4 linked regions of the Lonchura striata genome follow. The protein of the gene in region 3 purifies or fractionates together with the protein of the main gene of each other region. This does not show direct contact. Links are inferred from orthologs where the notes say so. Each region holds a gene or a part of one and is shown on either strand. Other genes may lie near its edges.

Region 1 (8,147 bases), on a different chromosome or scaffold from region 3:
AGGAGCAAGCCAACTGAATCTCAATGTCATTGGTACAGCAAACTGGTTCAGCAATGATTAATGACACAGCCACACCATCAGCTCGGGGTTAGCACGGAATTTTAAAAAGCTTCAATAAATCCTGAACACAGTGCAGGAAAGTACTGGGAATGAATCCACATGATGTTCTGGGTCGTTCTGGAGACTTTCTCTCTCAGAGGTGCCTACTTTTGTGGAACTTTTGTGTGGAACAAAGTCTCAAACACCCAGTCCTTTATAAACTTCCACCCCAGAACCCAGCCAGTGGCTGTGGCTCTTCCTCCCTCCCCTTGCACAAGTCCCTGAGCCCTCACCCCACAGCCAAGTGACAAGATAATCCCGACACATCCCACAGCTATTATTCAACCGACCCTGAAGGCTGCTGCTAGGAACAGCAATGTCACTGTACATGGCCACGCTGAGCCCTGTTTATGAAACCCTATTTAACAATCTGTCAGGTGCAAAACGGCCATTTCTGTCAAGTTCACAGTGACACAATTTAATTTGTCCAATGTGTTCTACAATATTGTTTATGAAATGCAGGGGGTTTGTCCTCCCTTCTTACTGTGGAGTCCCACACAGAATTTTTTCTGATGTTTTCATAAAAACAACTCTCAGAACACTGCATTAGTTTCTGCAGATATATCTGGGAAGCTCACATATAGAGTGGGATGAAAGAAATCATCTACTTATATATTTATATATATATATATATATATATATATATATATATATGATGTATATATATTTATATATATATTTATGTTCTCAAGTATCTCTAAACATAATATTCATAATAAGAAAGCCTGCAAGTCACATTTCCAGAGACTCCATATGCACTAGGCTAAATGACAGACTTGTTTGAAACTCAACTGTGAAGAGATTCTCACAGAACAGATCACAAAATCATCTGCAACATCAAAATCTACCTGCTGGACTTCTGCAGTTACCAATTTTTCCCAACCCTAACTTTTGTGCTGACGGAAAATCAAATGTGGTATCATTTAAAATCTCTTTTGTTCTCAACTCTGCTATTTTTCATAGCTGAAGTAAGCAAAACACCTACTCGTATTTGCACATGGATTTCAGATGTTCTGAATATCAATTCACTGTGCAATTTATTAAGAAAATTGACCAAAACAAACATAATTTGCCAAGCTTTCCATACATTTAAGCTGTTGGGGTTTTGAAGGTTTTTTTCACTTACCAGTTATCTTAACTGGTCATAGCAATTTATAAAGGTAGCACTGCCCTCATCACACAGAATGGTAAAATAAAGCAAAATGAGCCCCAAGTTACACAGCATTACAGATAATAAACTGCAACTGGTTTTTCAGGGATCACATTTACCAGTAGTACCACTTCCTACTACAAAACGCTGACTACAGAGTGGAAACATAACTTGAAAAGAGAAAAGCAAAATGTGCAATACAGTTTGTGGTACAGATTTAGAAGAACAATATTCTTAAAAGACAATTTTTTAAAATGTTCATTAGAGGCTTAGAAAGCTGCCATCCATGCTAGAATGAATCATCTCCCTAATGTCTTGGAAGGAATCTACTAGCTGTGTCTCTTTTAATGTTCAGTCTGCATGAATCCAGCCATGAACCAAGAAGGGAACTGCGTGTGTGCCTTTGAGGTGATCTACCAATGGCTCCAAAACAGGTGGTAGATGACATTTGAGTTGTTTAGTGAGCTTCATCAGCAAATAGTAAATCCTACATCCTAGTTTTTCAACTATTTGAAACTAAAGACACCCATCCTGTAAGTCATACGGTGAGGTTTTAATATTAAAAGGTGTCATTAAGAGAAATAATCAAAATATCTCGTGTTTATTGGTATTCAAGCTGACAAACCCAATTGTGTTGATGAATCATCCTTCACAGGCTCAACTAGATCTGGGCTTTCACAAAAATATCTGAATAAACATTAAGACTTGAAATACTTGGATGTATCTTAAAGTTTTGGCAAACCAGTTTTTATGCAATGTCAAAATACGAACACATTGCTATTTATTTAAGTAAAGTTCCAAGCAGAGCAGGGATTTAGATTCAAATTATTATTTATACATGCAGAGAAGTCTGCAACAAGCTCAAAGTGGTTACAAAACAACATTCAAAATCTGTATTACTGCATTCAACAAAAAAAAAAAAACCACCCAAACCCACCAGGTATCATAAATAAAGAATCACTTTTATTTAAGAGAACTAATCATATACCAGATAACTGTGTCATATCTGCAATCACAAAATGTGCTAACTTTGAAACAAAAAAATGGCTTGTAACTTAATCAGTGCAAGAGCTCTAAAGAAATAAAACAAGGACAGAGATTAGCACACGGAAAGTTGGCAAAACAGCTGTTTGGGGCAGCAGGCGTATCTGACCAAGGGGCCCCAGCAGAGCCAATTTTAGGTGCCGCATGAAGCTCGGGCAGTGCTGACAGTGTGATGATGATCCCCCAGCTGAACTCACACACACGCTCTGCTATATCGGGACCAGGTGGAGATGCCAGATCGAACAGCGCTGCAGACCTTGGCGAGGCACTGAAACCTGATCACATGCACACATGGCTATTTACCAACAGCGGATTGTGCAACAGCAAAAAGAACTGAGCTCCGAAGGAGCTGGAAGCGAAGAGAAATCCCGTCTAGAATTTAGAATTTGGTATGAACGCATTTACATTCCAGAAAGCAGACATAAGTTCACCATCTGCTTCTGGCGAATCCTCCAGCGCAGGCGATGGCCCCGCTGCGGCGGCGGCCCCGAGCGCCGGGCCCGGCCCGGGCACGGGGATTGCCGGCTCATCGTGCCAACATGGCTGCCCGTGCCGTGCCGTGCCGTGCCGTGCCGGGCCGGGCCGGGCCCCCGAGCGCCGCTCCCGCACCGCCCCGCGGGGCGCGCCCCTCCCGAGCGGCGCCGCCGCCTCCGCCCATCCGAGCCAAGGGAGCGCGGCGGGCGGCAGCCAGCCCACGAGGAGCCGCCCGGGGAAAAAGGAAGGAGGGAGACGAAGGGAAGGAAGAAAGGGAAGGGAAGGGAGGGAAGCGTCCCGGGGGACGAGGAGATGGCACCGGGCAGATGGCAAGGCCGAGCGGGGCCCCACGCCCTTGCGCCGCTGCCCTGACAGCTCCAGAGCACCCAGCGCTAAGCATCCATCCATCCCTCCGTCTGTCTACCCATCCATCCGTCCGTCCATCCCCCCCGCTCCCGGCCTCAGCCCTCCGCGGGGCCCCACAGATGCGCACGGCGGCATCGCCGCCTCCCCCTCCGCATTACGGCACCAGCCCCGCTCCGGCCCCGCCAGCGCAGAGGCCCCTCAGCGCAGCCCCTCACCTGGCGCGGGCGGTGCGGCGTCAGCAGCCGGCGGGGCAGCGCAGCGACAAAAACCCGGCCATCCCCATCGCCGCCTCCACCGAGGCCTGGAGACCCCCCCGCGGCCGGGAACGGAGCGGGAAGGGGAGGAGGAGAGCGAGGCCGCGCCGGGAGGAACGGGCGCCGCGCTCGCCCAGCGCCGCTCCCGCACTGCCGAGCGCGGGGGGAGCGCCCGCCCCGCGGGGGAGCGCGCCCGCTCCGCCAATCGCCGCGCGCCGCCCCGCCCCCTCGGCGCGGCCCGCCAATGGCGCTCCGCGGAGCCCGCGTGTGCCCGCCCCCGCCCTGTCAATCACAGCCGGCCGCGCCGCCGGCGCCGCCTGGCGGTGCCCGGCCGCAGCGGCACCGCCCTCCGAACAGAGCCCTCCGCCGCGCAGCTCCAGCCAATCGGAACCCGCTATGCAAATCACGGCTGCGCCCTCGGAGCCTATCGGGAGAGGGGCCGCAGCACCGCCCGCCGCGCTGTGTCCGTGCGCGCCCCGAGCCGTGAGGGGAGGCGGGTCCAGGAGGGAGTGTCAGGGTGAAGGGATAAAACCGGCCGGGACACCGCCAGGGTGCGGGTAAAGGGATAAAATCGGCCGGGACACCGCGGGGTATAAGGATTAGCGGGATAAAATGGGCTGGGACACCGCCAGTGTGCGGGCAAACGGGATGAAATGCCCGGACACCGCCGGTGCGCTCTCGCTGTGGGAACGCGGGGTCTGAGGTAGCGAATTCCCCAGCTCCCCACTCCGTGTATTCAGTGGGATTGGATCCTAAACTAGGCCTAAGGGCGATAGCTCAGAGGGAAGGGATTAGTAATCTTTCCTCCCTCCCTTCAAAACGGTTCTTGAGCAGCCCGAGTCATTTTTTTAGACCTCATAATGTATTTTGGGCAAATTATTAAATTAACCTGCCTGGCATGCTGCTGTTAACAGCTGCCGGCAGGGAGAACTGAGATATGTCAGTTGGGCCATTACAAGGATAAATCGTGATACAATAGAATCAATTGTCCTGAATTGTGTTTCTACAGCATCAGCGCTTGCCCCAGGAACTTCTCCAGTCTCTAGCGTAGAGCTGCAGGACAAGGAGAGAGCGGCGATCCACAGTAAATTCCAAGGAAAGCTCACTTTGTAACGCAGTATGAGTTAGCCTTTGCTGGGGTAAACCATTCCCAGCTCAGAGACACTGACATTCTGCACACACACGGACGTGGTCAAACGTAAATCCCTCCACTGGCAGTTTCTGTGATGTCTCATATGAACTCTGTATTGCAGTTTCTGTGGTCTCTCATATAAACTCTGTATTATAGTTGGATTGAAAAAGGTAAATGACATAGTAGTGAGGGGAAGGGAAATCACCAAAAACTGCAGGTAGCATTTAATTAACTGAACTAAGAATCGTCACACAACCGATATGCTTTTGTGGGAAATTGATTTTTAATCCAGCTTCAGCATTGCTTTTCAGTCACTCAAATGTCCACTACCCACTGAAAGACAGGGGTTTGATTCACAATAGAATGGCACTTCAGCAGCTTGTATTAAAATACATTTCATTATTCTGCTCACAGTTGCAGAATTTGGGAGAACACTTGTCTGAGCTCACACCTTTGAAATACTTGATGCTCGTTTCCCAGATCAAATTGTTTTGGCCACTTATATCATGCCTTTGTGTCTGATAAGATATTGCACAAGCCTTTGTGCAATATCTGCACTGACATGTTTTCAAATGATAGATGTATGCCATAATTAGACAAAGCATTTCAGTAATGCACTTTGCTATTTATATTCCTCAGGTCAGAGTCTGACACAATGGCACAATAAATATAAATTCAGATTCTAAAGGGCATTGTGTTGATTAAAACATCCCACACCAAATGTGAATATGTCTACTTCCTCCTGGCAAAACCCAAAACTATAAAATTTTCACTTTATAATCTATCAATAGAAGCAAGATATGATACGCACTTGCAGAAAAAACCCATAAGGTGAAGCCAGTTTAATCATCTTCTAGTAAAAACACATATTCACTACAGAACAGCTGTCCTTCATAAAAAAAAAGTATAAACTCTGGGATATTCCTAGAGATTTCTTACAAAAATCCTCAATAACGAAGGGACAGTTGAATATGTAAGTTTTTCTTTTATATAGAATGAAATTGCCTCTTCACTAAAGAAGAAAACACACAGCACAACCTGTAACACATCAGAATCTCTGCTGGGTTTGGGTGCTTGACTGGGAGCCTGCAGGTAAAAGCAGAGCAGGTTTTGATCTGGAACTTACTGAAGAGAAAGAAGAGGGGGATTGGAATTTGTGGAAGAAGTGAAGGTTATAATTATCAAACCAACAAACAAGCTTCTCTGTTGCAGCAGTGGATGCAGACAGAAGCTTTGGAATCTTCTCCCATCCTTATAGAGAAATACACATTCATGATGTAAGAGGAAGTACCACTGAAAAACCCACAAACAAACAAAAGATACAACTCACAACTGTACCTTCACATTTTATAATTTAGAGTTATTTGCACACCTAAAAGGTCAATGCTGGATTCTATACAAACTAACCAGAATTTCCCTTGGAGCTGTCACCAGCTGTCACGGAGCTATGAATAGGTGCTCAGTGGCACCTGCTTGGGAACATTCTTGAATGTAAAGGATTACTGGTATCTGTGTGCACAGAAATTTTCCACATAATTTACTAAGTTATCTCCAGATCCTAAATCACTATCAGCAAACCTGAACAAAGACACCCAATCATTTCTAATTTTTATATTTTCACCAACACTCTTACAAGAAAGACGAAGGAAACATCCTGTGCGAGTGTGTATCATTTATTGTAGTTCAAGAGAGTCAGGAATTGAACAGAAGACATGGCGAAAAACAAATAAAAGAAAAACAACCTTTTTTTTCCAACTTAATTTTAAAACACTGTGGTTTCAAATCCTTTTTAAAAAGGAAATTCAAGTATCATATGCAGGGGGCAGTAATATAAAAATGTTTGTGAATATTTTTTTATTTTTTTTAAAAACGTAATTCTACATTTCCTGCACCCTTTCTGCTTTGGTAAGGCCAAGCCATGGATACAAATTGGTACGCAACATAAAAAATGACCCCTGCCTCAAACTGCAGCCTCCAGGGATAAAGGTATCTGCTCTCTGTGGACAAGCTCCAATGGCTCAGAACTGTCAGTTAGCATTGATCTGCAGCATTGAAAGAATGTATTTTATTTTTTTAAAGTCACTGAAATCCTGGTATTCCCAAGCATCTCATTCATGGCAGCTGTTTTAACACATTTCTATCTCAAGGCTTTTCACAAGTACCAGAGCATCTTGATCAACATAAAGGAAAGGGACATCTCAAGGAAAGTAAATTAAAATCCACGCGTGAAGTCTTCGCTCTTTTGAAATTATCCTTGTGTCTAACACCAATTAAAAACCAAATAGGCAAATATGTGTAATATAAAAATACGATCCCAAGATGAACACTTTGTTGCAGGCACAGTTATCGCACAAAATATGTTCTTTTTAGGGCAGGGGAATGATTTTGATTTTCACAGGGTTTATGTTTTTTTGCATTACAGAAGGAAAAGACAGCAGTGCAGGTTTGATGGGTGGAACAGAAAGAAAGGAAGGGAAAGAAAAAAGTTACTTTAGCAGCAAAATGTCCAAGGTTCTAACCACAATCAAATTAACGGATATCTGGCGGTAAAAAACAAGGTTGAAGGGATGCTGCCCTGATCCATTTGTCTTTGCTAAAATAATTCAGCTGTAAAAACTCCAAAATGTGACATATTGGAGGACAGTTTTGTAACATAAGTAACTTCCTAGCTTGTCCTCCATGTTATTGACCATCGTTATCACTTAAATATATGTACAAGAATGAAGCTGCTTTCCTCCTCGTCCACATGCTCCTGTGGTCACTACTGCGAGCCAGTGCCGTGGGCATGCCAATCCATCAACAGCTCCCAAGTGTGTCTGCTGCACTCCTGCCAGAGCAGCCCACGCCCTGCTCTGCCCATTGGTGGTGGTGTGCACTGCAAGGGAATTTTAATGGTCATTCTGCTTGTCTCTCATCCAGGCTTGGATTTGCTCTTTAAGTTCTGGCACTAGGAAGGAAAAAAAAAAAGAGAGAGAAAAGAATTATTAAATTACTTGGTAATAGTACTATAAGAAAGTCCCTCATGACTAATAGCCATTTTCCCATTTATATACCATGATGTATTTCAGCCCAGGAGTTAAGAAAGCAAGGCTGTGAGGGTTTTTTTGCCCCGGAAAAAGGGAAAGGAGAGGGAATGAACTTTTCTGTGCAAGCTGAAATGAAAGAAGTGTCACCTCTGCTGAGGCCTCAGCACTGTGCTATGGAATTACAGAGCTGCCCAGGAGCTGCTGCCCCCAGCCCACGTGCCAGCTGTCCCACGGTACCTGGTTCCAGCATATTCTCCGTCAGCGTCTGCCGGTTGAACGGATCCGTGGAGGAGTTCAGCAGGTGCCTCAGGATGATTGACCTGTCCATGATGGTGCCCGAGGGCAGCCGCACGGGGTCGGTCATCAGAGTGTCCATCAGTGGATCTGAGGGCACAAGGCTCTCCTCATTACAGTGAGCAAACAGCTACAAATGTTATCTCCCATCAACCCACACTGCAAAACCAGTGCTCAGGGTCCCCAGTACACTGCTGAAGGTAGAGAAAATGGTTAAATGGACATAAATCTTCACAGCACTTTCCCCTTTCTGACCTGGGACTAAGCTTTCCCTATTGTCACCCTATTTTCAGTTGTAGGGGGGTGTT
Region 2 (7,863 bases), on a different chromosome or scaffold from region 3:
TATTTAATAGCTGGGGGAAGAATGCTTTGGTTTGGAGGAACAGCTTTTGGCTTGCTTAAGTTATAATATGGAACAGAACACAGTAAAACAATTTAACCCAGCTATTTCTAGCTTTGGCAAACAAGCTCTACCTTCCATAGAATGAGAGAAAATCCTGAGCTGGAAGGGACCCACAAGGATTGAGTCCAACTCCTGACGCTGGATAGGACAGCCTCAAGAGTCACACCATGTGCCTGAGAATATTGTCCCAACATTTCTTGAACTCTGCCAAGCTTGGTGCTACTTCCCCGGGGAGCCTGTTCCAGTATCCAACCACCTTTGGGTGAAAAACCTTCTCCTGATATCCAGCCTAAACCTTCCTGACACAACTTCACGCTATTCTCTGGAGTCCCATCACTAATCACTAGGAGAAATCAGTGCCTGCCCTCTCTTTCCCCATATAAGGAAGTTGTAGATTGTGATGAAGTCTCTCCTTGGTCTCTCCTTCTTTGACAAACTATTGCCAAGTCATGGTAGTCCAGTGTTTTACTCTCAGCATGCACCATCTGTCCAGCTAAGGTGCCAAATGAAGGCTGGGTGAGCTTGATCAGCACCACTTGCTCCAGGCAGAGCTCAGAAAGTGCCAAAAGTCTCAGATGCAAGAAGCCAACACCACTAAACAGTGCTGGCTTCTGCAGAAAGGACACCTGAGAAGAGCTTGAGTTTTGTACATAAAATGACCATTCCTTCCCCCAAAGAAGTAGACATCCTCAACAGGCAGCTCCCCCAGTGACTCCAACTCTTTTAACAAGCAACATTCCCTCCCAGCTCCCAACACATGAAACAGGAGAGCCTGAGGACCACACTTTAAGAGGTCTTTGCACTGTGAAGACTACAGACATTCTTTGTCTGCATTATCATAAAATATGCCTCAACATGAACCTGAATTAAAGAACAAAGTCTTCCTTTAAGTAACATCAGATATCAGATGCAATTTTCTATTGTTATTATTCTTAATCAAGCTCTTGCACTTTTTTGGTTTAAGTTGTTTGGAGGTTTGGATTGTTGGGAGTGGGGGGTTTGGGGATTAATTAGTTTTGGGTTGTTGTGTTTTTTGTTTTGTTTTTTTTGTTTTTTTTTAATTATTGGTTTGCTTTGTTTTCTTTGTTAGCATAAGAACTAAGAATGAATATTTGAGCTCCCATGAGCCAGTGGCTGCCCTACAGCACTGAGAATTCAGATGGGAACAGGTAGAAAAGGAACCTGACCAGGACACAGTTTTCTCTCACAAAAAAATTCAAAAAAATATAGGGCAATATTTTTTCATGGTTTTGGGATATTTTTTACTCCTCTTGGGATCTGACAAATACAGCTGCTCATTCCAGTTACTAAAAAGCACTCAGCTTCAAGGCTGGAGGGGTTTTTTTAAGTCTCAGAGTCCATAAAATTCTCCATTGAAATACAGAAATATGTTAACAAAGCTTTCATTAGCAAAGGGAAAGAGTAACAGTTTACAAAGCTATTTTGGCTTGTTCCTTTAAATACATAGTAGCTAGTGTCTGTATGCTTTCATCTCTAATGTTAGGGAGAAGCTGGTACACAAAACCTTACCAAAACATCAGAAGTTCAAGTTTGTAAATATTTAAAAACTGCCTCATCTTCAAAACTAATCATTAGGACTCACCAAGTTTCACTATCATGTATACACCACTTTTTCCACCAAGACTCACAAAACCTTGGGACATGCCTCATTACCCTAAAAATATCATACAACTACGGAAATGGTCAGACTTGGATTTTAAAGCCATCTGGATCTAAAGAGCAGAGAAACACAACAGTTCTTCTGAAACACAAACCTCATTTCATAAGGAAATAAATATTTACATCTTCCTTTAACATTATGGAATTCCGAGCATCCTGTTTGTCAATACCTTAAGGTTTGCAAGTTACTTGCTTTACAGTAAATTGTTCCTTTAAGGGGTAAGTTTAAAAGTTACTTTAAAATGAGAACAGCTTTCACATATCAAAGGAGAGCCACACAAATTAGACTGGGCAAGGGGGAAGCCGAGCATATGTTTTTTCCCCTACATAAACAGTGCACACTACATACTCACATTTCTTTGCTAGAGCTCCCACATGCTACTGGCAGGCAAAGACACAAAACCTTTTGTAGGAATGGTACAACCAGCCAGTATCATATGAACTCAAAAAATAATTGAAACAAATCCCCAACCCCTTAAAATAGGATTTTCAAAGACAACATTAAATCACTGTAATGAAGCTTTTTAAAATAAGCTTTGACAATTTAAAGAAACCAATGCAAGAAAGGTATGCATGAGTGAGGAATGGTTTAATTGCTTAAACTTACAGCTAACTCTTACAAAACTTACAACACTGACACATGGGGAAGCCAGGACTGTTGTAATTACCTACATTCACAGAGGACACGAAAATGACACTTGTGGAGGTCATTTATGATACCCCTGCCTTTGGTGCTCTCAGTTCAACATTCTCAATAGATTTTAAGCACTAGATGTCATTGTTTTACAGAGGAAACAAAGAAACCTGAACTCGGGTCTTGACAAGCTTGTAAAGATGAGGGGTAAAAAGTAACAAACATCCTTTTTTTAATATTTCCTCCTTCCAAAGTTATTGTGATAGTGGTTGTAACAACACTAAATTTCATCTTAAGTGACTAGGCACAAAGAAATAAGCTTAATATGTTAAAATACATCTAAATCAGCGCTCCAAAACTCCTCTTTAAAAGCACACGACTCTAAGGGAGGCTGTTCAATATTGCAAACATTTCTCAGCTTCCAAGTCATCAGCCTCCTCGCTCAGCCGATGCTGCCCTGGTCAAAACTCAGGTACATCCAGGAACAACCCTCTCCCCACGCTTTAGCACGTAGCGCACCGGTGTGACTCGGGTAATCATACAGAAACACGGATATTTACGTCAAGCGCTATGTCAGACAATCATGTTTCAAAATAGGAGAGAAGAAAATGAGTGTTAATTTCAGGTTACTCTCTGTCCTGAACTCTTTCGAGACAGGAAGGAGTGCCTTTAATTCAGACTGTCTCGGAGCAAGCGCTACAGAAGTCATTTACAAGATGGCAAGAAATTACAAGCCTTAACGACAGGAGGGCAACCAAGCCAGCCTTTAATTTGGATTGCGAGGAGGGGGCGGTGGCGATACTGCACAGATTTCTGCAAGTTGCCACGATACTTTCCAAAAATAGCAGTCCGCAGCTGCCGACGAAGAGTCCAGGTCTGGGGCCGCGTCCCGGGAGCTGCTGCCGGACGGCGGGGCAGCCCCGCGGGAGCGCGCAGCGCGCTCCGCCGTGCGGAGGCTGTGGCGGGACCCCTGCCCCGGGCAGGGACCGGGGGAACGCGGGGCTGGCACCCAGCAGCACCGAGAGACACCTCACCTCCACCCACCGCCGGGCTTCGGCGAACGCCGCCTGCAAGTCGCACTCCGCGTCCTCTCTCCCGTCCATGGCCAGCAGCGAGCGAGCGGGGGGCGGCCGGCGCTTGGCGGGGCGGGGGCGCGGCAGCGGCCGCTGTCATTCAGCTGCCTCCTTTTAACGCTGCCCGCGCCGTCTCCTCCCCCTCCGCCTCCTCCCCGCGGAACTCCCCCTCCCGGGAGCTCGCAGGAATCCGAAGAGCCGCGGGCCGTGCGGCAGCGCCGGGACCCCCGGGGCAGCCGCACCGCACGCCCGGGAGGGGCCGCGCCCCGCGGCGGCGGTGGCGGCTCCCTCCCGCCGGGACGCGGCGCCCCTCGCGCTCCCGGCCGGGGGAGGCCGCCCCCGGGGCTCCCGCCCCGGCGCATACCAGGAATAGCTGGGGACAATCGCACCTTTCAGGGCCGGTCCCGCCGCCCGGCCCCCGCCACCTGCCGCCCCGCCCGGCCGGGACTGCCCAGCGTGCCGCCGCCGCCCTCCCTCCCTCCGGCGGGGCCGCGGGAGCCCGGGCCGCCTCCCTCGCCTCCGCACCGATGGGGCTTCCCCGGCCGGCCATAGGCAGCGCCGCGATCCCGGGGAAGCGGCTCCACACTCTGCAGCGCTGTCCCGTCTGGGGACGAAGTTGGGAGCCTGCGGAAAACATGAGACCCACGCTTTGTTTCGGGCGCTTTTCGTACAGAGCGACCGAGGCGGAGGTGCCCCGGCTGAGCTGGAGCCACGCGGCTCGGCTTTCATGCTTCCCTCCCCAGTCCCGCTGGCCTCAACTCTGGTTTAGCTCACACTACTCACACTAGCGCCCATTGCTCTGGCTCATTCGTGTCCCTGTGCCCCGCTCACTGCAGCAGGTTTTTTGCGACTCGTCCACCCCAGACGCTATCCCAGGCTCAGAGCTAAAGCCCGGTCTAAGTACCGCTCGACCGTGGGCCTGGGTGAGAGCTGCGCTGGGCTCTGCCCACTGCGGTGACCACAAACGTGGGGCAGGTTGGGATCACGCTGTGCTGCAGCAAAGGCTCAGCCGCCCTGACAGAAGCACGGGGGGCAGGAGGGAGATGTTTGCTGGACGAACACAGTAAAATCCTTTCTTCCAATGCAGGGGCGGACAAGTGCTAAGCAGAAAAATTTAAGTATCAGGGTAAAGTGTCGTTTCCTGTAATACTAATCTCCAGCAATAAGTTGTTGTGCTTTGGCTTTGGTTTATGTGGGATTTTTTTGACTAGATTTCATTTTGACATTGTATTTAAGCTCTCTACTCCTACCTGAAAGGAGGCTGTGGTGAGGTGGAGCTCAATCTCTTCTCCCAGGTAACAAGCAACAGGACAAGAGGAAATGGCCTCAAGTTAAGGAGGTTTAGATTGGATAGAAGGATAAATTTCTTCAATGCAAACATGGCACAAGCTGCCCAGGGATGTAAGGGAATCACCATCCCTGGAAGTGTTCAAAATACGTGGATGTGGTACTTGGGGACATGGTTTAGTGGTGAATATGGCAATGTTAGTTTAACATTGCACTCAATGATCTTAAAGGTGTTTCCCAGCCTTCATGATTCTATTATCTTTTCCTGCTTGCACTTTTTGTAGTATTTTTTCTTTCCATATCTTCTCTGTAAGTAAAACTCAGTCACTGCACACGTTTTGCTTTTATAGCCCATGGCAGAACATATGTAATTTTTAAAGTACTACTGAGAAAAGATAACTTAAAGCTTTTGTACTACACACAAATTCACTTCTCCTGAGATGTTGACTTGGGGACACATCTTTTGTTACAGAAAACCTCAGAATAGGGAGGAGAAATTTAGGAGGTCAACAAGTCAAGAAGCTATGAGCCATCAATTTCTACGGTGTATGAAAATCAGGTGGTAGACTCAGGAGGGAAAACACAGTGACTGGCTGAAATAAGTTCCATGGGAGATATCTGACATTTATTAAAGTTACAAATGTATAGAAGTTATGTAGTTAGCTCCTCACCATGGTATGATTTGAGACATCTATGCTATGGAGCCAGCAAGGAATAATATGAAAGCTGTAATTTTGAGGGGTTTTTTCTTACCCTTTTTTCCTGTTCCAAGCCAGATCAGCCACAAGACCAAATACAAATGAAGAATCTGCATTTTTCTTCAGTGGGAAGCCTGAACATCAGAAAACAACCCTCTCATCTCACTATTTAACATCCATGATTACAAAGGTTTAAAATGTCTAAATAAAATATGTATCAGCTGCTGCTGCTGGCTGACATCAATTTGCATTACCTGAGGTTACCAAACATTTTTCTGGAGAACTACAGCAGCCTTTCTCCAGATTTTAAGGACTTTCACTTCATCTAAGAGTACAGTGCTCCCTAAGTAGGAGAAAGTAACTAAGAATTCTATAAAATAGGCTTCAAAAGAGGTAATGTTAAAAAAATCACATTTCTCACTTATTTCTGCTTGCTTTATTTCACTTTGTAACAAATCAAATCACCTTTCTTACAAATGAAGCGTTTAATGTTTTATATCAAGTAATTCAAGTAATTTGAGTTATCATGTAATTTGATTAAGTGCTTAAGTAGACTGCATGGATCACAGCAACTTTCAAGTCTAAGTTCCTCACTAAGTAAAAAAAGCTCCAACATGTAAATCTCATCCTCAAAGTGAATTTTAAATCAACTGTCACAGATAAAATATCTATGTAAGCCTAAGCAACCAAAATAGTTTTATTATTCCTTTGTGCTAACAATGTAAGTCACCAGAGTCCTAGATCAGAGAAAGATTACATATATCAGATATGACTGCTAATTGTTGCTGTCAAAAGTAGCAAATGTAATATTGTTCTACTTGACAAAAATAAACCCTTTCAATGTGTGTGCTCCTAGGGATAATTCAAGCAACAGCTTACGTCATATTCTTTCCAAGGAGAGTTCTACACATATTTGACACAATAATATTTTCTACCAAGGCAGGCTTCTTTCTTTAAGGAAAGACCATATTTATTTTGTTAAGTGTGGGCTGTTAAGTCTCTTTATTTTCCAAAACATACATTTCACTATCAGAAAACAACTTTCTTCTTCTCTTAACTGAATCATGCAGCCATGATTGAAAGGAAAGGGCATTGTACTGGTTACTAAATTATGATTTCTTAAAAAAATGTCTGTAAATAACATAGGAAAACTTGCACCAATGTACCTAAAAGACCTTGAACAATCCTGAGTGCTTAATAGCACACCAGCTCCGCTCAGCTAAAATTAATGTAAGTGTGGAGCATGCATCACCTCACTCCTACACACACCACTTCCATAAGATGCTGTATACAGGTGGCCCAGACTGCAGAGGCTGAAGAGGGATTTCCTGACACTGCGTGCTCGTGGCCAAGCCATGCTCCTCCACACAAAGCTGTTGAGGCTCTGGCAGGGCTGCACAAGGTAGAAAATACAGTGTTATTTTCCCACAGAGCTTGAGCTAATAAGCAAGAGATTGTACAGCTCAGGCGATGATGCAGACATTGGGGCGTCACAGAGCCAAAAGCACCATGGAGTCTGCAGGGTTTATCAGCCTCTAAGTAGGACCTTGCTTGACTTTACAAGTCAGCCAAGTGTTCATACCTCACTTTTTTATCCGTGTTATACAGGTTATGTCAATGACAGAGATATTCCAGCAGCTTGTAGATCCCTTTACTTCCTGTGCTACTTGAGACAGTGCCAAGGCCTGTGCCATGGTCTCACAAGCTCCGGAAGGCTGTTACACTGTATATGTTGGGTGACATGAATTTCTGCAGTGCAGCCTTTCACAGTTTCTACCAAGAGACCATGCAGTGAGTAGATACAGTTCAGCACGAAAACTAGTGCATTGCTCTTCCTTTGGCATCTCAAAGAGTGCTCATTAAAATGTACCATCTTACATATTAATAAACCAGAAATTAACACTGCAAATAAAAGGAAACCTTACCTTGCAGAACAACTGATTTGAAGGCTATGTAGATGCTAAGCAAAACTAAAATATTGTCAAACTATGAAGAATTCTTATTTATAGGTTTTTACGTAAGATTCAAGATGTATTTTTCAGCACGACTACAGAAATTCCCACCCCAAATTTACTATTCTAACCTTATTATCTTTGTCCTGAATTTGTCTAGGCAGTCCGTGTACCCAACAACGAGCTCCATTTCTGAAGGGATTTTGCAGTAAACAGCTGCACAAAAGGAAAGACACCCATTTATTACTTAAACCCACTGAAATGTTCTGAACACTGAAGATCATAAACGATGAGACTATTTCCCTAGAGCAGACAATTGATGTAACTTGTTTAACAGCTTTGAACTGCACGTCCTCTCCTTCTTCACCCTGTCCTCTATCCTTAAAGGGCCTTAGCTAGATGAACTACGGCTTACTTGAGAGGCAGTCCTCCAAGTCACCATTTGCTTAAAATATGCAATATCCCAATTCAGTGGTGAC
Region 3 (7,907 bases):
TCACTCAGGTAATGTACTTGAAGACTTGCAGTATAAAGCAGCTGTTGGAAGTACCTGCTCACAGACTGCCTTGAGTCTTAGCACGTTTCTCACCTGAAACAAATATGTTCCCAGTTTCCACAAAGAGGAATTGGTTTCAGTATTCAGCAGCACTCCACAGTTCTCTACATCCTCTTGATATCAAGACCTCCACAATATCATTTACTCCAATTGTTTTCCAAGAAGGAGTCCATTTAGTTATAAATTACTCTACCAGTGAGGAATAGCAGTGAGTTAAGATTTCTCAACAAGCTTCCTGCACCACCAGGAAGCTTCCTGGCATTTTGTAATTTGCCATAACATGCCTAAGCAGATCTGTGACCATAGTCAGACACCCAAATCTCTTAATATATCTCTGGAGATCAGGGTTTAAGTGCTACTTACACTGCAAAAGTACCTAGAAAGTTGTCCTCTTAATCTGGGCCACCATCCTGAGGACAGTACAGACACTGGACTAGATTCCCAACCGTTCACAAATGCAGCTCCCAAGACTTCAGAAATTCCCTAAGTGGGTCAGGCAAGTAACACCAAAGAAGCCACAGTTGGATGCCCACCATAAGTGCTGCTATAAATGCCATGAGCCATACATAAATAGCAACCCACCACTCTTCCAATCTCCAGGAGAAAGATGGGACAGAAATTTACACTTACCCTAATGTTAAACACAAAAAAAATTGTCAAACTTGTCAAACTCATATTTTAATTACCCAAGGGACTTGTATTCCAATGTATCTGCAGCCAGTACTTACCATCACCCCATTTTATATGTGCCCATCAGTAACTCTGGCCTTGTAATTGTGCACCTCAAAGATCATACTGAGGAGCAAAATTAGGATTACCTTACCCTTTCCTCATATTGCTTCTCAAATCACTTTGTTCACAGAATTATTCAGCAGTCTCAGCTATGATCTTGGCAGAACTGCATTATTTCACATTAACAAGAACAAATTATGCCAATCATTTTTAATTGTTTCAGCTGAACAGGAACAGAAAATTAAATGATAAAACAGTATCTACGGTACATTTTCTTCCAGGCCATGGACACGAGGGAAGTGAAGATGCATTTAGAGCAGCTGGCAGAATTATGTTGACCCAACCTGATTTTTAAAACCTCTGGAAGTCCAAAACCCACAGCACTGATTTAAACAAGACAACTTCAAGTTGTAACAAGCATCATGCCCATTCAGAAACAATACAGCACAACAAGTCTTCCACATTTTGCTCTGGGCAGCTTGTTTAGCCAACATTCATGGTACTGGGAGAACCCAGGGAAACGCTGCACCAAGGCAATAATCCTTCCCAATCAATTTTTATCAGCTGACAGGAAGTTTGCATTGCAGATCTGTGCCACAGGGTAGAGTCCTATTACCTTCTAACAAAATGATTTACTGCTGACTTCAGAAAACCCCAGAAAGACAGTCATGCCTCAAGAGCTCCCAAGGATGATGATTCCTCCAGGATGTTTGGTTTCCACTCAAACCAAAGCCAACACTTTCAGTGGCACTGACTCATTCATACCAGGTGGAGAACCTTTCCTTCCCTCCTCAGCAGAAGTTGCACACATTCTGTGCAATATGCATGTGTCCCTCTGCACAAGGTAATTATGGTACCCCAATACTTGGTTTCTGGGAGGCATTTTCATTCTCCAAGTCTTTCAGTTATTGCAGAGACTGCCTGACTGCTTTCCTTTAGTGGTACTATGAATTCTAAACTATTTTCCCATCAGAGCTCTAAATGAATGGAGTTTTATTTAGGCCTTCTTTTTGTTTTAGTTTCTCTTTTTCTCTCCAAAACGTGTATTTTTCAGATGTTCTGCAATGGTGCCATCGGATGTTTTTTGCCATCAGATGTTTTTTAAGCACAACTCAGTAAAAATGTGTCATTTGTTGAGAACTTGGTCGTGTTGTCTACAAAAATTTTTGAACAGAAAGCATTTGGAGTGTCTTCTTACCTCTCTAAATGAGGTGTTACTGCATTCACACATTCTATATACATATATTTATTTCACTTCAAATGAGTAATCACAGCTCTCAGGGCAAAGTAACAGTCTCAGAAGAGTCGAGAAAATTAAAGGTCCTTTCTATTATATGCAGGGGAACCATGTTTAAAAAGAGAGGTTGCAAGACAGACATTTTTGGGGCAAGAGACACCACCCAGGGTTGCCAGTTCCTCCCCTCTACCACTTTTCCCCCAGATATTAAATCATCACGGATATTAAATGATCAGGGATAGCACACAAACTTAGAGGGGTGGGAAAAGGATAAAAAGAAAACGCTGGGTAAGTAAAACTACCTGTAATAATTTCTACCACATAATGAACGCGTTTTCTTTAGGCAGTGAATCATGTACTCGCTCCCTGCAGGGTGAGAACTCGCTCTCTCTGGGTTTGCCAGGGGCAGCAGGATCTCCAGCGGGGGTAGAGGCAAAAAAGAAGCGCAGCCCCGTCCCCGGGGACCCCCAGGAGCACGGCCGGAGAGGGGCCGAGCGCCGGGCTCCCCCTCCGGAGCGCTCGGCATGGGCGTTGTCTGCGGCGAGCCGCCCTCGCCCGGCGCCGCCCGGCCGGGGCAGCGCGGGGCCGGGGCCGGCCGGACCGCCGTGAGGGACAGCGGGGTCTCTTTGTGGAGCCCCCGAGGCGGGGGCGGCTCCCCTGCCCCCCCTCCAGGACTCGCCCTTCGCGGCCGCCATTTTATTCCCGGCTCCTGCCGCCACCGCCCCCCGCCCCGGGCCCCGCCCCGGCCCGAGACACCCCCTCGCCCGGGCCCCCCATCCCCGCTTCCAGCGGCCCCTCAGGGCGCTCCCCGTCGCCATTTTGTGTGCGCCCCCTCCTCCGCCCCTGCCCCCCTCCCCCGCCCAGCCGCCATTTTGTGGCCGCTCCCTCCCTCCCTCCCTCTCCCCTCGGCCGTGCACGGCCTCCGGAGCCAGCGCGCTCACCATCGTAGCGCTCAGCCTGCTCAGCCAACTTGGCCTGATAGACGAGGTCCTCCCGATCGTCCATGTCCTACGGGCGGGGCGGCGGCGGGGACTGCGCGGGGCGGATGGCAGCCGATGGGTCCGGGGGGCTCTGCAGCTACCAGCTCGCTGCTCTCCGGGCAAATATGGCGGCAGCGCCTCCTCCCGCTGCATCCGGGCACTCCCGCGGGCGCGCGCATGCGCCCCGCCGCCTCCCATGGCAACGGCGGCTCCCTGGCAACGGGCGGGGGGCGGGGTGAGGCGGCGTGAGGGGTGTGAGGGATAAAGGGAATGAGGCGGCGTGAGGGATGAAGGGGGTGAGGCGGTGTGAGGAGGGTGAGGGATAAATGGGGTGAGGCGGTGTGAGGGATAAAGCGGGATGAGACGGGATGAGTGATGAGGCGGTGTGAGGGGTGAGGCGGGATGAGGAGGGGTGAGGCGGTGTGAGGGGCGAGGCAGAGTGGATGAGGCGGTGTGAGGCGGGGTGGGTGAAGCGGTGTGAGGGGTGAGGCGGGTGAGGAATAACGCGGGGTGAAGGATGAGGCGGCCCGGCAATGGCGGGGATGGATCCGCCGTTCCCCCGCCGGCCCTGGCGGGGCCGTGACCGGGACATGGCGATGGGCAGCGGGCCCGGCCGCCGGTGGCGTTTCCCTCAGGGCGGCTCCATCTCTCCGCGTTTGTGCTGCCCTCAGACGCTGACAGCGCTGTTTGAGTTACCCTCTCTCGGAATCTGGGTACAAATCACCGCGTGTGCTGCACATGGAAGGGTGGATCTGTGACCGAAAGGCAGACGGACAGATACAGGTTTCTACAGCCTCTCCAGGGTATTTGCTCTAAGTATCACCTCCAGTGCATAGCACGAGGTAATTTCAGTTTCAAGAGGCTAGGAAATCTAGAAAGCAAATTTCACAAGTTCCTCACACAGTACTTCTGAAAAACAAAAGGAGCATTCACTTAAATAACTGAGATAATGCCTCAATTTCTGGAATTAGAATGGTTTTAGAAAAAGAAAAGGGATTATGCATGGCTGGCATGAACTTGATCTTCAAAGATCCCCATGCCTGCAAGTGTTCAAGTCCAGGCTGGATGGGGCTTGGAGCAACCTGGTCTCATGGCATGGCAGAAGAATTTGAATGAAATGAGCTTTAATGTCCCTTCCAACCCAAACCATTCCATGATTCTATGATTTGCTCAGGGTAGCTATGAATGAAGTCTTGTCTCTTTCCCCAGTGTCTCCTTGGAAGTGCAGACTACAGATGCTCTCCCATCATTTCACTGCTGGGAGAAGTGCACAGAGACCTCTGCAAGTTTTGACAGCAGAGACAGAGCTGCCCCTGGCACCTGCTGGACACAAAGTCAGGTATCCCCATTTATTGTATTGTGTGCACTGAAATGGGCTCCTGATGGGTGACTGAGGGCACACACCTTGAACACCATTCAAAGCACATTTTTTCAGTAGTTTATTGCTGGCCTGACTTATTTTTTTTCAGTTGATGAACAAGAGTTTTAGGGTCTGCAAGATCAGCATAACCTTATGTTTTTCTTACAAATAAATCTAAACATGTGACAGAATTATTTTTATATCACTTACTCAGAAAATAAATACTCTGTTTTCAATGGATACTTAGGCCCTCTTTTTCACAGATCAGGATCATCTAATCAGGATTTCTTAAAAACAAAGACATCATGGACTAAGGTGAAAATTAGGTGTCAAGTCCAGAAAAATATTTGCTTCTTTAGATTTATTCGAAGTAAGATTAGAAAATGCTGATTTTTCTGAAATTGGGAATCATTGTAAACCTTTACTTCTGAATTGCTGGTAAACACATGATATAAAGTTAGGTACTCAAAAGGTCACAGTACTGCACAGTCACTATCTCTGTGTAAATTTTTAATACTCACAAATCACTTCTGTACTCTATTGACCATAGAAGTCTATTTTTCAGCAGAAACTTGGGGAGCTGTGCACAATAAATTAGATTTGGATCAATTTAGGAATTTTTCTGTGTTCCTTGTGTTCAGCAGGCACTCAGGTTGCAGGGAGTTCAATAATATCAATAAATCAGGACACTTCAAGAAGATTTAATTGCCAGAAGTGAGATGCATTCTTAGTACCCTTGCTAAATAATAGCATATTGTCTAAATACTTTGAATTCTTTTGAATGCACTCGTTACAGATGGCATTCAGATATTTGGAAATTGGTCAGGGATTTGGCAAAGCATGAGGAATAAACAGCCTAATCCAAGGAAATAAAGCACAATTTGTTGATGCAATCCTTGCTTGCCCTTTGCCCCCTGAACTTTCACATTAATTCATTCAACTACTGCTGCAGCCAGACCCCAGTTCAAAGGAGAGGGAATGGAAAAGGAAAAGCAGTTTTCTGCATGAGCCCTGTGCTCCATCAGCTCAGGGGAGCACTGCAAACACCAGGGCAAGGTGAAGCAGGAGGGGATGGCTGGCAGGGCCCTGGGGAAGGGCAGGCACAGCCTCTTCCTTTTGGCTGCAGGGTGCTCTGAAATTCTCTCAGCTAATGCATTAAAAGGCACCTTTGCATTGCAGCCCTGCAGTGGTTGAGCACTGGAGCAAAGCTGGGGGCTTCCACCAATGAAGAGGTTTTTTTCCATCTGCAGCTGATAGAATAATCTTTACTGTGTGGAGACACATCAGAAATTCTTATCCTTGGGGCCTAAGGGCCATTGTCTCCTTGCAGTTTTTAAGGAATAGTGTGGCAAAAGTGGCTTTAATGCAATTGATGTTACAAACGTGCCCCCCATGGGATTCTGGTCCTGATTTTCTGCCCTTCAGCCCTTGACAGCACCTGCACACCTCGGCTTTTCACTGAATTAGTGCTCTCACACCACAACACATAAAAACAGCTCTTCTGAACCATTTGTAGACTCCTGCAGGAGATTCTTGATGGTATTAATTTGTGTAATTTTGTTTTCACTGATATTTCTAAGAATATATAAACAGCTTTTTATCTTCCCAAACATCCCATCCAAACAATCCCCAGGTTATTCCCTGATACACTTGTGCAGGTAGAATTGAGATCAAGAGCTACAAAATCTCATCTTAACATTCCTCACAATTTTTTTTTGAAATGAGAATATACATTTCCCCCAACACCTAGACTCATTTAATTACAGAAAGTCACCATCTTTCAAAAAAAAGCCATATTTTATTGTTTGATAAGTTAACTTAGTTACCTTGGTTTGGCTTACTTCTGTAGTGCCGTTTAATTATTTTCATACTAACATGGCCAATTAAAAATGACCATACCCCCTCTATTTTTCATTATTAAATGCAAGTACTCCAAAAACTGATTGAGAATGACTGAGTCAAAGTTTTGGCTATACTTTTATTTACTTCACGTACTATGAACATATACATTACATGCTACAAAAAATAAAAAAAGGACTTTAACTGTCAAGAAAGTGGATAGTGTTATAATACAATGTCACATGTTCATATTTTTCTTCAAACAGGTTTGGTTAGAATCCTTCCCCAAAACCATTAACAAAAAGGAAGTGTTTTACTCTTAAAGATGATTAGAAATATTTGCATTATTAACAAATACAATTCAAACAGATTAACAAGATTTAACCAGGTCATATATTAGTAAAAAGGCTGGGGCTTACCAAAATGAAATATATATTAAAAAACCATAGCAGCCAGTTGTAATTTTTAGTGTGATATAATGTGTAAATGCACCAGAAGAACACAGTGTAATTGAGCATTCTGCTTTCATGGTGTATTTCTAGAAATTATTATTCTAGTTCTAACACCTGCCTATGCACAAGAGACCAAAACCACAGCCAAGGAAGAGACAAAAGATTGTGACCAACATTCTGAGCAATGATTTTTTTGCACGCATTGGGGAGAAGGGAGGGAACAAATATGAGGATAAACAAAGGCCACAAAAGGATTTCATCTATATGTTCATGGACATAGGTTCTACCTATTTGCCTTGAAGAGCCTGACAAGTTGAAATGTCTATTTTGTCCAAATTCATACTCCTTTCTATCACCTATGAAACAAAATCACATTTCAGCTTAGAACTGAAGAGTGGAAAACAGTTGCATTAATGTATCAGTCAGCTAAAAAAACTGCTTAACAAGAACTTGGGATTCTACTGTAACAGCAGCTATTAAGACTCCTCTAGTTTCTTTATTTTGCTCTTTCAAAGTGTACAAATATTCACAATTTATACAGTCTTAACAAAAGCACATCTACAAAGTTTGCAGGGTACTTGCTAGTTAATTCAATTCATGTCTTTCATATTAAAAAGGCAAGGTTTGCATAATAAAACTAACTGATATTTTGGTATATGAATTCCTGATTGGAAAGGTACAAATACATGGGCTTTCATTAACTGCAGTTGGCAAAAATACTTCAAACAGTGTCACTCTAAGGAGACACTGTTTATTAGGTTTCTTTTGCAATACCTGAAGAAAAATATAAGCATATTATGGGCAACTGAAAAACTCAGTATTAAGTGTATTATTTAGAGTGCAGCTATTGAACAAACCCCCGCAGTTACAGTGAATATCAAGATCAGAGGAAAACCATAAATCAGCCTTAAAGAACCCGATGAGTTACAGAACCTAGAGTTAGTTTTGCATTTTATGTCCCCTCAAAGTAAATTTTGTACTAAGCTAGAAGAGCTCCCACAATCACTGGCACGTCACCCGAACCAGAAGAGCAATCCAAGGCAGAACAGAACTGCAATTCCTTGTTTCCATTCTTACCCCACTGTCCCTGCTGTCAGTTTTTGATAATAATCCTCAGTAGTGTTCATGAGACTGGTGATGGACAAGTGTGATTAACATTCGTCCACAGAATTAATGAGTGCCCATAACCTGAACATTACTCAGACTTGCTGATGGATTAGTTTTGAAGTAAAACAACTAGTACTTAA
Region 4 (7,591 bases), on a different chromosome or scaffold from region 3:
CCCAGGCATTTTAGGAACCATCCCCCAGCACCAACAAGCCCAAAGCTCCCAGAGCTCTGATCCCACTCCCAGGATGACAGGCATCACTCCCATGGATGTGGAGCATCGCCTTTGCTCCCCTCTCCGTGGGCAGGCTGCAGCCCACACCAGCAGCAGCTGCCATAAATCCCTTGGGATTTGGCTGCGGGATCCCTGGACCACAAAGCAGCCCCAAGGGCCAGAGTCACCATCCCAAATCCCTGCAGCACAGAAAGCACAGCCCTGAGTCTCCAGACCACGGAGCTCCCTGTTTAGAAATTAAAGCCGTATTTTCAATTTAATTAACAATATAATATTAAATAATTAATAATGCCACGTAAATATTAATATTAATAATATGCAATGACAAATGTTTACGTTATTTTCTACAACAACACATCCCCAAGATGCTCTGACCCTGGGCAAACCCTTCCTTCCCAGTAGGAGGCACTTCTGGGGAGCCCCATTCCCGATATCCCGCTCACAGGCTCCAAACCCATTCCCGCTCTGGGGAATGTGCAGTGCTTGCTGCACACAGAGGGGGGAAAAATGGGATGCAAAGTGCTCTGCAGACACACAAGAACCCAAAAACCAGCTCCGTTTTATGCCAAAAATTCAAACCCATGCCTGGACTATCCGGAGCTCCTGCTGCCCTCTGTGGCAGGGACCCGTCCTCGCCTCCAGCTCCAAATCCAGCAAAACAAAGCCAAACCAAGTTCCTGATTTTTTTAATCCTGGGGCAGGCAGAGGGAGATTTGTCTTCCCTCAGCAGCGCCGCTCTCCAGTTTTCCAGCTGGGAAAGCTCCTCAGCCACGCCACAGCCTCCATCAACTTCCCTGCCCCGGCCGCAATCGGGGAAAGCTTTTTGGGAAAAATATCCTAAGCCCACTTTTCAGTCAAGGGGGAGGGAAAAAAAACAGCATAAAACTCAATTAAGGAGCAGGCAGATATTTTAACCAGCGCCATGGTTTGTATACTCCATCTGGAGTCCAAAGGCTGCCGGGTTTTTTTTTTAGCAGGAGGGAACTGACATCATCTTAATTTCAAATTCACATTTATTTTTACATCTGGTCTGAATTAATCTTTCTCAGCGTCCTGACTTTCATGTAATGGAATAATTGCTTACAGACTCGGGGTTTAAAGAGCCTGACTAAACCCAGTTTAAAAGAAAAGAAACCCATTTAAAAACCGATAGTAAAAAATCCAGTACCTAGAACCAAACTCCAATATGCCTTCGGGATTGGGAATTTTAAACGGAACATCTCTTTCAGGCAAGAGAGCTCGAATTAATCCCAGCTCTATCCAAGATTCGGAGAGGGAGAGCGAGCCCTGTGGAAAAACACCAACACAAAGCAGCCCAGAATTAGGCAGAGCAGCAAAGCTCCATCGGTGCCACGCGGAAGCACCTCTGGAAAAAGCAGAGTTTGGCTGAGAGGGAGAAACATCCTGATGGCCAGAAAGGCACTGGGAGAGGAGCAGGGAGAGGAGGATTCGGGAATGGGAGATGGCAGGAAGGTGGCAGGGGGCCAGGGGCAGGGCAGGGTTGGGATGTGCCTCACTCCCACGGGCCAGTCAAAGGACACAGGAACACCGAGGATGGTGCTGGGAAAGCTCAGCCCCATCTCCCCACTGCCCCCAGGGCACCGGGTCAGATAAAGCCCGGCTTAGGACTGCATGGATTTATCCTGGCTGCTGCCAGAACGTGGCAGGGATACGCATTCCTGGTGGAGAGGGCCAAGGGTGACACCACCAGCGAGCAGCTGGCACCTAGAGCACGTCCACGGGGTGGGGGGCACCCAAGGGTGAGGGGAGCCCGGTGATAACAGGGTCCCAGAGGTGGCTGTGACCCAGGAGGATCCATGGATGAGAGGATCACAGCTGTGGGAACCAAGAGATGGGAACCACGGCTGAGGGGACCTGTGGGTCACCACGAGGCACAGAAAAGAGCTGGCACAGGCACAGAGGACCCACGGGTGAGGGGACCCAATGGAGTGTGTGACCCACGGGTGAGGGGACCCAGTGGGGTGAGTGTGGCCCAGGGACAAGGGGGCCTGTGGGTGAGACCCAGGGCGAGAGAGGACCCACGGACAAGTGTGACCCAGGGACAAAGGGACCCACGGGCACCCGTGAACCAGGAATGAGGGGACCCATGGGCAAGTGTGACCCAGGGACAAAGGGACCCATGGGCACCCGTGAACCAGGAATGAGGGGACCCATGGGCAAGTGTGACCCAGGGACAAAGGGACCCATGGGCACCCGTGAACCAGGAATGAGGGGACCCATGGGCAAGTGTGACCCAGGGACAAAGGGACCCATGGGCACCCGTGAACCAGGAATGAGGGGACCCATGGGCAAGTGTGACCCAGGGACAAAGGGACCCATGGGCACCCGTGAACCAGGAATGAGGGGACCCATGGGCAAGTGTGACCCAGGGACAAAGGGACCCATGGGCACCTGTGACCCAGGGACAAAAGGACCCATGGGCACCCGTGAACCAGGAATGAGGGGACCCATGGGCAAGTGTGACCCAGGGACAAAGGGACCCATGGGCACCCATGAACCAGGAATGAGGGGACCCATGGGCAAGTGTGACCCAGGGACAAAGGGACCCACGGGCACCTGTGACCCAGGGACAAAGGGACCCATGGGCACCCGTGAACCAGGAATGAGGGGACCCACGGGCACCTGTGACCCAGGGACAAAGGGACCCATGGGCACCCGTGAACCAGGAATGAGGGGACCCATGGGCGAGGGGACCTGGGGGTGAGTGTCAAGGGTGTCACGGGTGAAGTGACCCGTGGGCGAGTGTAACCCAGAGACAAGGGGACCAACGGGGCAACCGTGACCCAGGAATGAGGGCACCCGTGGGTGACGGTGACCCACAGCTGAGAGGAGCTGCGGGTGAGTGCGACCTGAAAGCAACGCGTCCCGTGGGCGAGGGGACCTGTGGGTGAGCGCCACCCACGGAAAAGGGTCCTAAGGGTGAGCGAGACCCGTGGGCGATGTGACCCAGCGGGCAAGGAGATCCGTGGGCGGCTCAGACCCAGGGGCGAGGGGTCCCGTGGGCGAGCGCGCCCCTGGAGCGCGCCCAGCGCCGGAGCGGCTCCGGGGTGGCCGTGGCCGTGTCGCGGCCGTGGGGGCCGTGGGGGCCGTGGGGGCCGTGGGGGCCGTGGGGGGTTCCGGCGGAGCCGCAGCTCCCGCGGGCGGGCGGGCGGAGGAAATGACTCGCATTCCTGCAGCCGGGGCCGCTCGCAGCGCTCCGGCTCCAACTCGCCCCCCGAGCGCAACAAGCGGCCGCGCCGGGCCCACCCGCGGCACGGCCCCGCGGGGGCGAGCCGAGCCGGGCCGGGCCGAGCCGGGGCGAGCGGAACGGAGCGGGACCGGGCTGAGCGCAGGCGGGCTGAGCCGAGCCGGGAGCGCGGTGCGGGGCGCCGGGCACGCACCTACCTGCGGCTGCGGGAGCGCGCTGCGTGCCGAGCCGTGCCGAGCCGCGCCGAGCCGTGCCGAACCCCGCCGTGCCGAGCCGAGCCGTGCCCAGCCCAGCCCGGCCCAGCCCATCCCGCCGCCCCCGCCCCTTCCCGGGCCGCCCCGCACCGCCCCGAGCGGCACCGGCGCCGCCTCCCGCCCCGGCGCCGTGCCCGGGACAGCGGGGAAGGGGTCGGGAGAGGGGTGGCCCCGGCCGGGAGAGACGAGTGCTGGCCCCGGAGGAGGCTCGGGGAAGAGCCTGAGCATCGCGTCCCCTGGGAGGGCACACGGGCTCCGTCCCTGCGGGATGGAGCCGCCCGAAGGTGCCCGGGAGCGGAGCGGAGCATCCTGCAGAGGAGACCGGCTGGGGATGCTCCGGGGGTTGGGAATCTCTGCTCTGGAGGGCTGGGAGAGCTGGGGGTTGGATTGACCTCACAGCCCCTTCCAGTGGGGCTCCAAGAGAACTGGAGAAGGAGTTTAGATACAAGGAATGGTTTCCCACTGTCACAGGGCAGGGATAGATGGGATATTGGGAAGAAATCCTTCCCTGGGAGGGTGGGGAGGCCCTGGCACAGGGTGCCCAGAGCAGCTGTGGCTGCCCCTGGATCCCTGGAAGTGTCCAAGGCCAGGTTGGACAGGGCTGGGATCACCCAGGGGCAGTGGAAGGTGTCCCTGCCATGGCAGGGGTTGGAACAAGATGTTTTTTAAGGTCTCTTCTAATCCAAACAACCCTGGGATTCAAGGATCTCCCAGGGAAGGGACTCGAATGTCCTCTGGGGGGGTCCCAACTCTCTTGTGTAGGGGAACCCCACACCCATCCCAGTATCCCCAGCCCTTGGACATCGGAGAATCCCAGTTCTTAAGATTCAGGTTGAGGCAGGAGCAGAATTAAACCCCATTCCCATTAAATCCCCCACAAGCAGCTGGATGAAGGTGAGTGGGGCTCGCTCGTGTGAGGCCTGGCCACCCTTTGGGGCTGATGCACGCACGGATCCCTCTCCATAGGTGACCCCAGGCCCGGAATAGCAACAGCAGCAGCACCATAAATTAGCAGCAAAGCATCTCCTCCTTCAGAAGTGCCATCTGGCGAGATTGTTTTTGGAGGAGTTATTTATTCCTCACTTTTAACTGTCTAAAGGCGTTTCTCGGGCTGACCTGCGAGGCCGCCTCGGCCCCCGCAGTCTCTCCGAGCCTCTGGGAGAGAGGAGCCGCTTGTTCCCAGCCCTAAATAAAGAGCAGCTCTGCTGTGAACACCCTGACACTCCTTGCTGAAATCTGTTTGCAGCTCAGCAGATCCTGCTGGGTAATTACATTATGGGAGCGCACGGCACCGGCGCTGGGAATCCAACACGCCGCTCTCCCCATGGCAAAAAACAACCTGGCTTTCTGCAGAGCTGGGGCTGGGTATCCCTCGGGTTTGGGCTCCCTCTCATCCCCCTGTCCATGCCAGCTGGAATTGGGAGAGGCTTTCTACCCCACAGCTCCTGCTCGAGTCCTTGCAAAGCCACTGGTGCCACTGCCAAGGGCACGGAGAGCATCCTGTCCAAGCAGAGCCTGTCATTCCAGCCAGAAATGCCATTTTTTCCCCCAAAAAACTCCCTCTGGAAACACCCACCCTGCAGCGAACACGGGGGACAGCCAAGCAAAGCCTCCCTTTGGCCGATTTCTCCGAAGCCACAAATCATTTTTCGGGTTGTGGGGCGGCCCAAGCGGGACCCGGCCCCGTTGCTGCGGTGCTGAGGAGGACCAGTGGGTCCTGCTGAGCACATCCCAGCGCCATGCCGAGGCCTGTGGAGCACAGGGATGCAGGAACCCAGCGCCTGCCTTGCCGCAGAGGCTAAATAAAGCAGCAGGAAGAGCTCTGGGATGCCAGCGAGGCGATGTATAAACACCGACGTGGATGGCGCGGGCGCGACGCCGCTCCAGAGCCGGGGGGAGGAAAAAATCCCGGCTCCTTGGAACGGGAGATGCTCCCGGGGCCGGGGGAGAAGGTCCAGGAAAAGCCATCCCAGGCTGCAGCGTGGGGAGAGCTCGGAAAGATGGAGCTCAGCCAGGGTCCGCTCTGCCTCTCCTCTCCTGCGAGAGGAAAAAACCCCAAGAGTCCCAAAAGTGACATTTCTCTCGCAATCCTGGAATTCATCTCCCTCAAAGATCCCAAGAGTGGAACCATAGATGGGAAATGGGAAAAAAAAATGTGAATTATTTTGGGGTGGGTTTGTTTTTTGGTTTTGTGGTTTTTTTTTTTATTTTGGGGTGGGGTTTTTTTTGTTTTTGTTTTTTTTTGTTTTGTTTTGTTTTTTTGGGTGATTTTTTGCATCTCTAGGCCTATCTCCAGCCCCTAAATAATAATAATATTTTTTTTGCATCTCTAGGCCTAAATAATAATAATTTAAAAGATTAAAAAAAATTTTAAAAAAACCCCCAAAAATATAAAGGTGGTGTGGTTATGACTGAAAATATCATTCCCATAAAATACACGGATTTCTCTCATGCTGGATGTGTTTTAGATGGAAAGGACAGGAAGCAGCAGCAGCTCACTGTGATCCTGCATATCACCAGGCGAGTGTTTCCCATCCCAGGATTTCAATGCTGGCATTGTCACTGGCAGGGACGGCCACGGAGACGTGGGAGCTCTCTTATCTCACAGCGTCCCTCGCATTTTGTTCAGGCACAAAAATTATTCCAAAAGCAACAAAATAACAACTAAACACATCTCTGCATCCCATTCCCTTCCCAAAGGCTGATGCATCAGTTGTGCCAGCCCAGGATTGCTGCTGTCAGTGCCCAGCACCCGTTTCTAGGGATTTTTGGGATGTCCTGCTAGGAAAATTTACCCTGGAGCAGCAGCACAGGGATTTCGGCGCTGGCCACAAGCCTTGTGGGGTGCATTTGGGGACAGGGGTGTCACCGCTGCTCGGTGACACCTGGCACCGCATCACAACGATCCCGATGGGCCCCTTCCAACTCAGCATATTCCAGCTCTGGCTGCAGCTGGGATTTAGAAATTCCTCCCTGGACAAGAGAGGAAAACAAATCCCAGCTACTGTGAGCGGGCTGTGCTGGGGCTGGGAAGGTTTCTCAGCCCATAAGGGGAAGAAATTAAATAAAGAATCCTCGGCGCGGAGCCACAACAGCCGGAGCGTTGCTATAAACTCCAGAGAGGAGCTGGACCTCACTCCCATTCCTGCATTTCACGGGGATTTCCAAGGAAGCTTTCCCTCCCTCCCTACCCAGGCTGGGCTGGGCGAGTCCCTGTTCCCCCCAGCACAGGCTGGAGGGACCCTCTCCAGCTTTTCCTGGGCTTTTTCGGAGAATTCCTCCTGATTTTTGGCCATAAATACCCAATTCATAGAGATCTCAAATACCCAATTCATAGAGATCTCACCTCAGCTTCAATTTGGTTTGAATGTGATAGAATTAATACGCCTGAGCTGATTAGTTAATAATAAAATTAATAATAATAATCAATCATGAAAAGTCTGAGCGTAGAATTAATACGCCTGAGCTGATTAGTTAATAATAAAATTAATAATAGCAATCAATCATGAAAAGCCTGAGCACACATTGGGACCCCTCCTCAGGGGTTTTGCCCCAGCTCCAGCTCCATCCATCCCAGCTGAAATTTGGGAAAACCGATGCCCAGCGTGCAGGAGCCAGCCCTGGATGGTGCTGGGGAAGGGGGAGCATCCCTGGGAGTGGCCTGGGGACACCCCAGCTCAGGAGCCAGGTGGAGAGCAGGATGGCTCCTTGAGCATTCTGGAATTTGGGCAAAGCCAAACCACCCTTGGCCCCCTGGGAATTCAGGGGATGCTCCCAGGGGAGCTGTTTCCATCCGATTTTAGCCGAGGGAGGATGCTGCTACATTTAACTAGCCCCCAAAAATCCCCCTCTGTATTTACCATGCCCAGCCTTTGCTGGGAAGCCGGCAAGGATGAAAATAAAAAGGAGCTGCTTGAGATTTAAACCCAGTGAGGCTGGAAAAGGAGAAAATCCAGCCTGAATCCCCAAGTGTTGGAACGATCAAGGAAATCCAGCTGTGCATCCGGCAGGGAAGAGCTGATCCGGGGCGTTCTGCTCATCTAGCCCCAGGTATTTCCAGCTCCCCCAG

Evidence for each region. The genes of interacting proteins can lie anywhere in the genome.
Region 1: the proteins of YWHAE (region 3) and KIF1B purify together in Homo sapiens (affinity purification with mass spectrometry; 3 studies listed by BioGRID and IntAct, with this or other methods). This does not show direct contact. The link is inferred for Lonchura striata from reciprocal best matches to the Homo sapiens genes YWHAE and KIF1B.
Region 2: the proteins of YWHAE (region 3) and LMO7 purify together in Homo sapiens (affinity purification with mass spectrometry; 3 studies listed by BioGRID and IntAct, with this or other methods). This does not show direct contact. The link is inferred for Lonchura striata from reciprocal best matches to the Homo sapiens genes YWHAE and LMO7.
Region 4: the proteins of YWHAE (region 3) and FRMD6 purify together in Homo sapiens (co-immunoprecipitation; 3 studies listed by BioGRID and IntAct, with this or other methods). This does not show direct contact. The link is inferred for Lonchura striata from reciprocal best matches to the Homo sapiens genes YWHAE and FRMD6.

The regions. Positions count from the first base shown.
Region 1 is NC_134626.1:1,577,319-1,585,465, reverse strand, and holds the start of KIF1B (kinesin-like protein KIF1B), read right to left. Parts: upstream 3,572-8,147; 5' UTR 3,349-3,571; intron 1-3,348. Other genes in the region: UBE4B (ubiquitin conjugation factor E4 B), read right to left, coding at 7,408-7,466, 7,783-7,929. UniProt on the Homo sapiens protein: Has a plus-end-directed microtubule motor activity and functions as a motor for transport of vesicles and organelles along microtubules.
Region 2 is NC_134604.1:49,535,427-49,543,289, forward strand, and holds the start of LMO7 (LIM domain only protein 7), read right to left. Parts: upstream 3,572-7,863; 5' UTR 3,478-3,571; coding exon 3,409-3,477; intron 1-3,408.
Region 3 is NC_134622.1:6,746,959-6,754,865, reverse strand, and holds the start of YWHAE (14-3-3 protein epsilon), read right to left. Parts: upstream 3,167-7,907; 5' UTR 3,035-3,166; coding exon 2,971-3,034; intron 1-2,970. UniProt on the Homo sapiens protein: Adapter protein implicated in the regulation of a large spectrum of both general and specialized signaling pathways. Binds to a large number of partners, usually by recognition of a phosphoserine or phosphothreonine motif.
Region 4 is NC_134608.1:2,453,024-2,460,614, reverse strand, and holds the start of FRMD6 (FERM domain-containing protein 6), read right to left. Parts: upstream 3,572-7,591; 5' UTR 3,466-3,571; intron 1,348-3,465; 5' UTR 1,229-1,347; intron 1-1,228.